Linked DNA regions of Mus musculus. The protein of the gene in region 3 purifies or fractionates together with the protein of the main gene of each other region. This does not show direct contact. Links are inferred from orthologs where the notes say so. Each region holds a gene or a part of one and is shown on either strand. Other genes may lie near its edges.

Evidence for each region. The genes of interacting proteins can lie anywhere in the genome.
Region 1: the proteins of Snrnp200 (region 3) and U2af2 fractionate together in Homo sapiens (co-fractionation; 3 studies listed by BioGRID, with this or other methods). This does not show direct contact. The link is inferred for Mus musculus from reciprocal best matches to the Homo sapiens genes SNRNP200 and U2AF2.
Region 2: the proteins of Snrnp200 (region 3) and Sf3a2 purify together in Homo sapiens (affinity purification with mass spectrometry; 4 studies listed by BioGRID and IntAct, with this or other methods). This does not show direct contact. The link is inferred for Mus musculus from reciprocal best matches to the Homo sapiens genes SNRNP200 and SF3A2.

Annotation. Positions count from the first base shown.
Region 1 is NC_000073.6:5,072,143-5,075,642, forward strand, and holds part of U2af2 (splicing factor U2AF 65 kDa subunit), read left to right. Parts: intron 1-2,438; coding exon 2,439-2,518; intron 2,519-2,592; coding exon 2,593-2,715; intron 2,716-2,998; coding exon 2,999-3,085; coding exon of another isoform or gene 3,086-3,097; intron 3,098-3,325; coding exon 3,326-3,500. UniProt on the Homo sapiens protein: Plays a role in pre-mRNA splicing and 3'-end processing. By recruiting PRPF19 and the PRP19C/Prp19 complex/NTC/Nineteen complex to the RNA polymerase II C-terminal domain (CTD), and thereby pre-mRNA, may couple transcription to splicing.
Region 2 is NC_000076.6:80,801,735-80,805,422, forward strand, and holds the end of Sf3a2 (splicing factor 3A subunit 2), read left to right. Parts: intron 1-663; coding exon 664-710; intron 711-1,057; coding exon 1,058-1,167; intron 1,168-1,725; coding exon 1,726-1,775; intron 1,776-1,848; coding exon 1,849-1,989; intron 1,990-2,085; coding exon 2,086-2,154; intron 2,155-2,237; coding exon 2,238-3,080; 3' UTR 3,081-3,188; downstream 3,189-3,688. Other genes in the region: Amh (muellerian-inhibiting factor precursor), read left to right, coding at 3,514-3,688. UniProt on the Homo sapiens protein: Component of the 17S U2 SnRNP complex of the spliceosome, a large ribonucleoprotein complex that removes introns from transcribed pre-mRNAs.
Region 3 is NC_000068.7:127,232,386-127,235,885, forward strand, and holds part of Snrnp200 (U5 small nuclear ribonucleoprotein 200 kDa helicase), read left to right. Parts: intron 1-20; coding exon 21-248; intron 249-515; coding exon 516-707; intron 708-794; coding exon 795-973; intron 974-1,114; coding exon 1,115-1,266; intron 1,267-2,578; coding exon 2,579-2,687; intron 2,688-3,500. UniProt on the Homo sapiens protein: Catalyzes the ATP-dependent unwinding of U4/U6 RNA duplices, an essential step in the assembly of a catalytically active spliceosome. Plays a role in pre-mRNA splicing as a core component of precatalytic, catalytic and postcatalytic spliceosomal complexes.

The DNA.
Region 1 (3,500 bases), on a different chromosome or scaffold from region 3:
CTCAGCCTTTTTACTAGTAGTTTGAGGCAGGCTTTCTCTGTGTTTCCCAGGGAGGCCTTGAACTTTGGATCTTCCTGCAGAGTTGGATTATAAGCTTGTACCAGCAGGCCTAGCTGTAGTTTTTTGACACATGGTATAACTGTATCTTAGACTGGCCTCTTAACTTGATTTTCTGCCCCCAGTATTGAGATCACAAGCATGTGCCACATCACATGTCGTGGATGGAATTGTCACTTTACAGAGGAGGAAAGCCAGGAGTGGTGAATAATAATAATTGTTCGTGATCACGAAATTCATAGGTTTTCTGGGCTGCACAGGTTGGCCTAGGAGTCCTAGCTCAGCTTTTCTCTGTACTCTTTCATGTTAAACTTTCTACTGAGAACATGTAGATAACAGGCATAGTTGCTTTGGGCCATGCTGTTAAGTGACGGGCCTCTTTCACAGGGAGTCTCTACATTGCTTCCATTAAACAATAGAAGGAAGATCAGTCCTGTGTTGTGTCTCTTTGGGATGTGCCTGTCTGAAGACCTGGCCCTCCAGGTCTGCCTGTGCTTCTGCACAAAATTACCACTTTGGAGGAGGCAGCAACAAGTGGAATTCTGTCTTGTTTTTTCAACTTCCACTTCCAGAGGAGAAAAACAAAGGTCACTAAATAAACTAGAGAGGAAAAGCATTTGATGAAATCCAATAAGTATTGATGATAGAGTTAAAAGATTTGTAAATTGGAAGGCTGATGTTCTTCCTGGGGAGAGAATGGACTGATAACTTACACTGACATCACCTGTAGTGGACGCTGCGCTTCATTTCTGTGGAAGTGAAGTTGTTGTTCTTAGTCACCAGTGTTAGCACCTTGTATCCCTGGATTAAGTGTAGCAGAATGCTTCTGTATGCGCCCTGTTTGTAGTGTGTTGGTCTCCCTTTTTCTCTAGCTGTAGACAGCAAAGAATTGAAGTTAGGACAACTGGCTTGGGTCCTACCTTGTTCTCCCTCTGAGAGAGAAGTGATAAGTCACAGTGATTACCAGATTGGGCTTGTGGTCCAGCTGCTGCCTTGCTGCTTACTTGTCAGAGACTGGTGCAGAGTCAAGCCTGCTGAGCTGCTTTAGAAAAGCTCTGTTGAAGTCACCCTTTTCCTACTCTTAGAACTTTACTTCTTTTGCTTTAAGCTAGGGCTTTTGTACCTAAGGTATGAGTCTTTTGCCTCCATATAAGTATATACTGTTTGGATGCCTGGTGTCTAAGGACATCAGACGAGAGTGACGAATTCCCTGGAACTGGAGTTAGGAGTGGTTATGAGTCCTCCTGTGGGTGCTGGGGAACTGAACCTGGGCCCCCTGGAAGAGCAGCAAGCACTGTTAACTGCTGAGCCAGCTCTTCAGCCCCAGATAGATTTTTAAAGTGGTTGTCCTCTGGCTTATGGCAGTACTGGATATGGCCTGGCTGTTAATGCTTCTGCTTGTCATAGTTGCACTGTAACTTAGGTCTGTTGCACAGTCTAGATAACTTGACTACTGGGGTGCACTTCTAATAGTTAGAAATAGCTGAATTGATGCTTGCAGTTCTTTGGGGCTAAAGAGTTATAGTGGGGCAGAGCCAGCCTAGAAGATGGGTGGGGCACAGTGACTCAGGTTCTGGGTGTGTCGAGTCATTATCTTGATGCTTTTGTACATTAGGATGGACCACTGCATTTAGCATGGGGGAGAGCTGAAAAGGGTAGCCATACAGAGTAGCCAGACTGATGCAGGGCTGAAAAGGGTAGCCATACAGAGTAGCCAGACTGATGCAGGGGCCTGATACTGACTCTAAGAATTAAATGCTAATATTGGTGAAGCTTGTGGGGTGTGCTAAGAAACATCTGGCCGTCACTTCTATGTGAGTTGAGTAGAGAAGTGGTGCAGACTCCCTCAGGTGATAGCACCATGTAGTTATATTAGAGCTTTAATGGATCCTGAACACAGCTTCGAAGAGTTGACCATTAGTCATCACTACAGTGGCAGTCAACACTGAGGCATGTTCTGAGACTCTGAGCAGCCTCTCAGCTCCTTGTCACATTACCTCAGAATGCAGGTCACCCCTGCAGGGGCTTATGGATACAGGGCAAAGGACTGAACAACCGAATGGGATGAGATGTTGGTGGGTGGTTGTCAGTTCTTCGGGAATGTTTCATGTTCAGTTGTTGGCTGGCCTATGCTTGTATACTTGTCAGAATAAGGGGATTTAGTGTGGCCTCCTCCCACCTTTACATGGTATCTTAAGTAGATAGGACCTGTGAATCCATGGTAGATTTTTTTTTTTTTTTTTTTGAGAGACTGATTCTTCTGCCTTAGCCTCCCCAAGTGCTGAAAAGACAAGTGTGTGTCACCAGTCACAGCTTTCTTCCTGGATGTTGGGAAATTACTTTGTATTGGAATTGAAGTCTTTATACATTTTTGTCTTTAGGAGTTGTATCCACTGTAGTCCCAGATTCTGCCCACAAGCTGTTCATCGGGGGTTTGCCCAATTACCTAAATGATGACCAGGTAAATCCTCTGCTCTTTTGCTAGCTACCTTTGTCAGCCTGACCAAACCCTGATGAATTTTTGGCCCTTTGTAGGTAAAAGAGCTGCTGACATCCTTTGGGCCTCTCAAGGCCTTCAACTTGGTTAAGGATAGTGCCACAGGGCTCTCCAAGGGCTATGCCTTCTGTGAGTACGTGGACATCAACGTCACAGATCAGGTGAGTCTGAGTAGCTGCTCATTCCATCTGCCCTTAACCCTACTCTTATTTCTAACCTTAGGTATCCTCTCCTCAGGCTGTGGGGTGGGGTGGGGTGGGGTGGGGCAGGGTGTTTAGTCTTAAGCAAAGCCTTGTGGGGACTCATTCCTTTTCCCTTGGTTTTGCCTCTTTCCAATCTTAAAAGCCCTTTGCCTTTCATTCTTTCCCCACCAATGCCTGGTCCTTTGGTTCCTGACCTGTTGCTTTTCCTGCACCCTTTCCACCCTTTGTCCTCTGACCATAGGCCATTGCGGGGCTGAATGGGATGCAGCTAGGGGACAAGAAGCTGCTTGTCCAGAGGGCGAGTGTGGGAGCCAAGAATGCCACGCTGGTGAGCCTCCCGGCACGTCATCTTCCATTGGCTAGAGGGACCCTGGGGGTGGGAAGGGTTGGATGGGTAGGTTTTCTTGAGTTCTGCCCCAGTTTTCATGGGAGGGGATTTGGGCACTGGGTTCATAAGTGCTTAAGTAGAGGAATGGTCCCACTAGTTGGGTGTAAGAGGCACAGGCTTGAATGGAGGGAGGCTAGTCTGAGCCATTTTGTGACAGATCTGTTCTCCCTGACCCCACAGAGCACCATCAATCAGACACCTGTGACCCTTCAAGTGCCCGGCCTGATGAGCTCTCAGGTGCAGATGGGCGGTCACCCAACTGAGGTCCTGTGCCTCATGAACATGGTGCTGCCTGAGGAGCTGCTGGACGATGAGGAGTATGAGGAGATTGTAGAGGACGTACGAGACGAGTGCA
Region 2 (3,688 bases), on a different chromosome or scaffold from region 3:
CAGGGTCTCACTGTGGAGGGCTGGCTGGCCCCGTGTACTCCTGATGCTCCTGCCTGTGTCCCAGGCTGTCCTCTAACATAACCGCACAGGTTGGCTGGACACCAGCTATCCTTTATCCTTTTGCTTTGACTGTGTGCTCTGGGAATGACCTTACAAATAGTAATGGATACCAGCCATCAGCAGAGTCACTTCTGCATTTTGGGGCTAAAGGGAGGGGGTGTGGCTATTGTCCCTTTTTCTGGAGGGGCAAGGACACTGGGAGTTCCCACCCCTCCTTTCCCACCCCTCTTGCTGGAGGACCAGACTGATCAGGCATGGATGGAACAGGTCTGGCCGGGTTGACAGTGGGGTGGTGATGAGCAGTGTTCTAGGTTCCAGGCCTCTGTTGGAAGCTCCTCCGGACAGCTGCCTATTCCCACTGGTGGACTCAGCACTACAGACTTTTGCAGTGAATGCTGCTCTAAACTGCAGAGGAATTTCTGGGGAGGGATGGGTGCAGAGGCTAGTCACAGGTCTCCCAAGTGCAGCCACAGCCACTGTGATGCCCTGTAGGCTCCCATGCTTGGCTGAGCCCCAGGCCTCAGCTAAGCCGGTACAGTTGCTCTGCCAGGTGCCCGTCCTGCCCTCCCTACCTTCAGCAGCATGTCTCCTTTCTCTTTGCAGGGGAGCTACCTGGCCCATACCCAAGGGAAGAAACATCAGACTAACTTGTGAGTCCCTACAGCCCTGGTTCCCCGGGACCACAACACTGTTACTCAGTAGGGAAATCTGGCTGGATGAATGGGGAGGGGAGGGGAGAGGCTACCTGCGTCTACATTCTTGACCCCCTCCCCCCATCCCCAGCCCATGTTTAGCCTTACTGTCTCAGTACAGAGCAGATGGCCAAGGGGCAAGGACATTGGTGGTGCCAGGATTCTCACCTGTTCTGCCCTGCTTGGTGTACCCCAGGGCAGAGCCGCCTAATCCTCTCCCTCAACTCTTGAGGGCAGGGCCTCTGGCTCCTGGTGCTTGGCCTTGGTGGCTGGTGGAGGGCCCAAGCACTTGTGTCTGTTTGCAGGGCCCGGCGAGCTGCCAAGGAGGCCAAAGAAGCCCCCGCCCAGCCTGCACCGGAGAAGGTCAAGGTGGAGGTGAAGAAGTTTGTGAAGATTGGCCGCCCTGGGTACAAAGGTGTGTGTGTGTGTGTGTGTGATGGCCTCCCTATGGCTGGGGGCTACGGCATGAATGAGCCCTGGCCCTGGCACCGGACATACCCTTGTCCCTAGGACACACAGCCGACTTCTCTGTCCTCAAAGCATCTTTCCCTTAGTGTTGCCAAGAGCCCCCAGGTGCTGATAAGTACCATCCCTACTGGCAATCTCCAGAAGCAGGAGGGGGAGGCTGGCTGTTGCAGTCACTGCCCCTGGAGCCCCTCTGCAGAGGCCCCTGGGTGACGTGGCCTAGCCAGAAGACCAATCACATGGCCAGCAGGAGCCCAGGGACCCAAGTTGCCAAGAGTCCCCTTTGGCAGGCAGGGTCCGTCCTGGGGAGGCTGTGACACAGCACCTCCCTCCTCATACTCTTCTTGGACTTCAACAGCTGCCCCTGCATAGAGTGCTGGGTTGGGTTGCCCTCCCTCACTTTAGGTCCTAGCCAGTGGCCTTAGGCAGAGAAGCCAGGCCTTGTGTTGAGGAACCCTGTTCTGTTGTGCACACACAGCACATAACAGCCCCATCCCTTCTGTTGCAGTGACCAAGCAGAGGGACACAGAGATGGGCCAGCAGAGCCTGCTGTTCCAGGTGAGGTGGGACCAGTCAGGGGTGGACCAGACACACGGGTGGTGATGCCAATAGTGCTGTGCATGTTTTACAGATTGACTACCCTGAGATCGCAGAGGGTATCATGCCACGCCACCGTTTCATGTCTGCTTATGAGCAGAGGATCGAGCCTCCAGACCGCCGCTGGCAGTACCTGCTCATGGCTGCTGAGCCCTATGAGACCATTGCTTTCAAGGTAGCGACCCTACAGGACAGAGAGAGCAGCTAAATTCAGCTGTCTGTGTATCCTAGCCCCTCCTTGGGGTGCTGCAGCCTCTGACTTTCTCCCTAGGTGCCAAGCCGGGAGATTGACAAGGCTGAGGGCAAGTTTTGGACCCACTGGAACAGAGAAACCAAGCAGGTGAGGTTCCACAGGCCTTGCGTGGGTACTCTCTCAGCGCTCCTCAGTGGCCCTGCCCCAGTCACTGACCCTCTCTCCTACAGTTTTTTCTTCAGTTCCACTTTAAGATGGAGAAGCCCCCAGCACCTCCCAGCCTCCCAGCAGGACCCCCAGGCGTCAAGCGGCCCCCGCCCCCACTCATGAATGGACTGCCTCCTCGCCCACCACTCCCTGATGCCTTGCCCCCACCTCCACCTGGTGGCCTGCCTCTCCCTCCTATGCCCCCCACTGGGCCTGCTCCCTCTGGGCCCCCTGGACCTCCCCAGATGCCCCCACCAGCTCCTGGGGTGCACCCCCCGGCCCCAGTAGTACACCCACCAACATCTGGAGTCCATCCCCCAGCTCCTGGGGTACACCCCCCAGCACCAGTGGTCCATCCACCAACATCTGGGGTCCATCCCCCAGCCCCTGGAGTGCACCCACCCACCCCTGGAGTGCACCCACCAGCCCCAGGAGTGCACCCACCAGCTCCAGGTGTCCACCCACCAGCTCCAGGGGTACACCCCCCAACTCCAGGGGTGCACCCACCAGCTCCAGGGGTGCACCCACCAGCTCCAGGGGTGCACCCACCAGCTCCAGGGGTACACCCTCCTCCATCAGCTGGAGTTCATCCTCAGGCTCCAGGGGTACACCCACCTGCTCCTGCAGTACACCCTCAAGCCCCTGGGGTACACCCCCCAGCCCCTGGGATCCACCCTCAGGCACCAGGGGTTCACCCTCAGCCGCCTCCTGGAGTCCACCCTGCTGCCCCGGGGGTCCACCCTCAGCCTCCAGGGGTTCACCCCTCAAATCCTGGGGTGCACCCTGCTCCTATGCCCCCCATGCTGAGGCCCCCACTCCCCTCAGATGGCCCTGGGAACATGCCTCCCCCTCCCCCAGGCAACTGAGCAGTCCCCCCACCAGCCTCTGTTGTCTGTGTGGTCTTTTCCCATTGCCAGTCCTTGGAAGGTTTTCTATTTGTCCTGCCTTGAGCCTATTAAACAGCCTCCCCCGTGTCTCCCTGTCTGCTGTGTGTTTGGTAGTGGGGAGGGTGGATACTGCTTGTCTCTGTTGAAGCTGTGGTGACCTGGGGCGTCCTCCAGGTGGGCTCCCCAGGGAGATGGGAGCTACTCAAGGACAGCTCAGGCCTCTGCAGTTATGGGCCCAGCTCTGAGGACAGAAAGCCCTTTGAGACAGTCGCCTCCCACCTGCTGGGCATGAAAAGTGCCAGGCACTGTCCCCCAAGGTCACCTTTGGTGTTGATAGGGGCGTCCCTCCCAAGCAAGCAATCTGGCTCAGCCATACATATAAGCAGGGCCACCCGGACCTTGCTGTACCACCATGCAGGGGCCACACCTCTCTCCACTGGTACTGCTGCTAGCGACTATGGGGGCTGTGTTACAGCCTGAGGCGGTTGAAAACCTGGCCACCAATACCAGGGGCCTCATCTTCCTTGAAGATGAGCTCTGGCCCCCCAGCAGCCCCCCTGAACCTTTGTGCCTGGTGACAGTGAGAG
Region 3 (3,500 bases):
CTCCCTCCCCTGCCTGTCAGGTATACATGGACTGGTATGAGAAGTTTCAGGACAGGCTCAACAAGAAGGTAGTGCTGCTGACGGGGGAGACCAGCACAGATCTGAAGCTCCTGGGCAAAGGCAACATCATCATCAGTACCCCTGAGAAGTGGGACATCCTCTCTCGGAGGTGGAAGCAGCGCAAGAACGTCCAGAACATTAACCTCTTTGTGGTGGATGAGGTCCACCTTATTGGGGGCGAGAATGGGGTATGCTTGGCTTTGTAGCACAGAGAAGGACTGGGCCGCACCCAGTTTGTGTTGGGCCTGAAACTAGGGACTAGGGTCTTCACAAAGATTTCAGCCTATTGCCTTATTTCAAAAGAGTGATCTGAGTTTATATATTATGTTGCTTAGTGAAGGTGTCTCTTTGAGGCAGGGGAACTATAATTGGGACTGCCAGAGGTGGTTCACTAAGGGAAGCTCAGGTAGAGGGTGGGAGCCTGGGCCTGAAGTGACTCTTTCTCTTCTTCCCAGCCTGTCTTGGAAGTGATCTGCTCCCGGATGCGCTACATCTCCTCCCAGATTGAGCGGCCCATTCGCATTGTGGCACTTAGCTCCTCACTCTCCAATGCCAAGGATGTGGCTCACTGGCTGGGCTGCAGTGCCACCTCCACCTTCAACTTCCATCCTAATGTGCGCCCTGTACCTTTGGAACTGCACATCCAGGTAGGACAGCCTTCATTCCTCCATGGCCTCAGGGATCCCTAGGTACCCAGGTCTAGTAACCTCAGTGTCTTTTTCCTTTGTCTCCAGGGCTTCAACATCAGTCACACACAGACTCGCCTGCTCTCTATGGCCAAGCCTGTGTACCATGCTATCACCAAACACTCACCCAAGAAGCCTGTCATCGTTTTTGTCCCATCTCGTAAGCAGACCCGCCTCACTGCAATAGACATCCTCACTACCTGTGCAGCAGACATCCAGCGGCAGAGGTAGGGTGTGCTCTAGTTTCTGGGATGAGTGGGTGCTTGAAGATCATGTTAAGTGAAGTCCTGGGTAAGGGCAGGGACTAAGTCTGGGGTCTCCCACAGACTGCAATGCCTCTGACTTGTGCTTGTTCTTGTTCTGCCCAGGTTCCTGCACTGCACCGAGAAGGACCTGATCCCTTACCTGGAGAAGCTCAGTGACAGCACACTCAAAGAGACCCTGTTAAATGGGGTGGGCTACCTGCATGAAGGCCTGAGCCCCATGGAGAGGCGCCTGGTAGAGCAGCTCTTCAGCTCCGGTAAGAAAACCTCATCACCCAAAGCTCTCATGGCTGTGGCTGTCAAACGAGGATGTGGGTGTCCTCTCTTTCTTTCTAAAGATTTATTTATTTATTTTATGTAAGCACACTGTAGCTGTCTTCAGACGCCCCAGAAGAGGGCATCAGATCTCATTATGGATGGTTGTGAGCCACCATGTGGTTGCTGGGATTTGAACTCGAGACCTTCGGAAGAGCAGTCAGCACTCTTAACCACTGAGCCATCTCGCCAGCCCCCTTTTTTTTTTAAACAATTTTTTATTAGAATTTTCTTCATTTACAATTCATGCTATCCCAAAACTCCCTTATACCCTCTCCCCACCCTGCTCCCCTACCCACCCAATCCCGCTTCCTGGCCCTGGTATTCCCCTGTACTGGGTCATATAATCTTTGCAATACCAAGGATCTCTCCTCCCAATGATGGCCGACTAGGCCATCTTCTGCTACATATGCAGCTAGAGACACGAGCTCAGGGGATACTGGTTAGTTCATATTGTTGTCCCACCTATAGGGTTACAGACCCCTTTAGCTCCTGTGGATGTCATTTCAATAAGGAATAGAACTTATTAATGCCAGCAGACTAATGTATGTCTTAATTCATTAGATTCCTCTAAAATACTTTTGTTGTCATTGGAACAGATATTTCTCCCAGCTAGATTAGAAAACAGGCACAAAAGCTGGTCTCATTTCAGAACATGGTTTTGTGGAGTTGGGCCGTTGGCCAGTAGACCTAAGTTCTGTGTAGATACCAGACTGGAGGGGTTAGAACTTAAGAGATGGCTGTGGATTTGTGATTCTCTCCTGGCTGGTTGCCTCTTGCCTGCTACCTTTGTTGACCTGTGGCATTTTATGTGTTTTTCACTATTCTGGCACTTGTGGCAGAGCCTTGGTGTAGCCAACTCTGCCAGAGTCACTGTTACTCTGACTCTGAATCAACCTGGTTTGGATTTGTTCAGGGTAAGTTTGACTTTGCTGCCATGGCCTGAACCAGCCACATTTGGTTTGGTGTTAGCTTTCATCATCAGAGGGCCAATCCACCATGCAGTGAAGGTTTTGCTTTCCCTGGATTTTGAGTTTTCTTGAATTGCTTTGTTTCTTCTAGGATAGTCTCAGAGCAAAAGGCACCAATAGTGCGGTGCTACCTTTCACAGTACTTCATTATGGTCAGACCTTGTTCCTACACAGCCTCAGTCTGATATTTGAAATGTAGCACAAGGTTGGCCACTGCCTGCCAATGAAGCAGATACTTTGTGGGAACCCTGCCCTCAATCTTCCTCTCCCTTACGCTGCTCAGGGGCTATCCAGGTGGTGGTAGCTTCTCGGAGTCTCTGCTGGGGCATGAATGTTGCTGCTCATCTAGTGATCATCATGGATACTCAGTACTACAATGGCAAGATCCATGCGTGAGTATAGTTGCTGTGGGCATTAACAGATCTCCCTCCTAAAGTGGATGTAAATGTGCAAGTGCAGGTATAGAAAACTAAACATGGGCCAGAGCTCCAGATCCCGGGACCTGCTCTTACATCTCTCTCAGCAGTTTGGAGAGATAAGACCTTATATATAAATGGGAAGAAAGGAGGTTGTTGCTAACCCACTCCCATATTAGGAAAAGTGGGTTGGTCAAGTTCTCATCTTCGTCATGACAAGAAGTATAAGATCAGGCCGGGCAGTAGTGATGCATGTCTTTAATATCAGCACTTGGGAGGCAGAGGCAGGTGGATTTCTGAGTTTAAGGCCAGCCTGGTCTACAGAGTGAGTTCCAGGACAGCCAGGGCTACACAGAGAAACCCTGTCTCGAAAAAACAAACAAACAAACAAACAAACAAACAAAAAACCCAAAGTATAATAAGCTCAGTGTTTCTCAGAACCTGAGTAATTTAACTTTATTGTTTTCTCCAAAATGTAGATTATTTTGAAATTAATTTTGTGAGTTTAAAATGTCTGATCTGGTTTTTGCTTTAGATTTTAGATTACTTTTTAACCTGAGAAACACACAGACCTTAAGTTTGACTTCAAGTTTGACCCTTTAATAGATGTTATTTTGCTTCTGGCCCTTAGATGGGTTTGTGGCTTTGGTTCAAGTTCCTTGAGTAATACATTCCTGACTCTTTCACTCTGAAACTAAAATAATGTGTGGGTAAGCAAGTGAAATGAATTGCTAAGCACACAGGTTTCTGTCCAGTTTTGCTGTAGTTTGACCTTATCTCCCTGCCTTT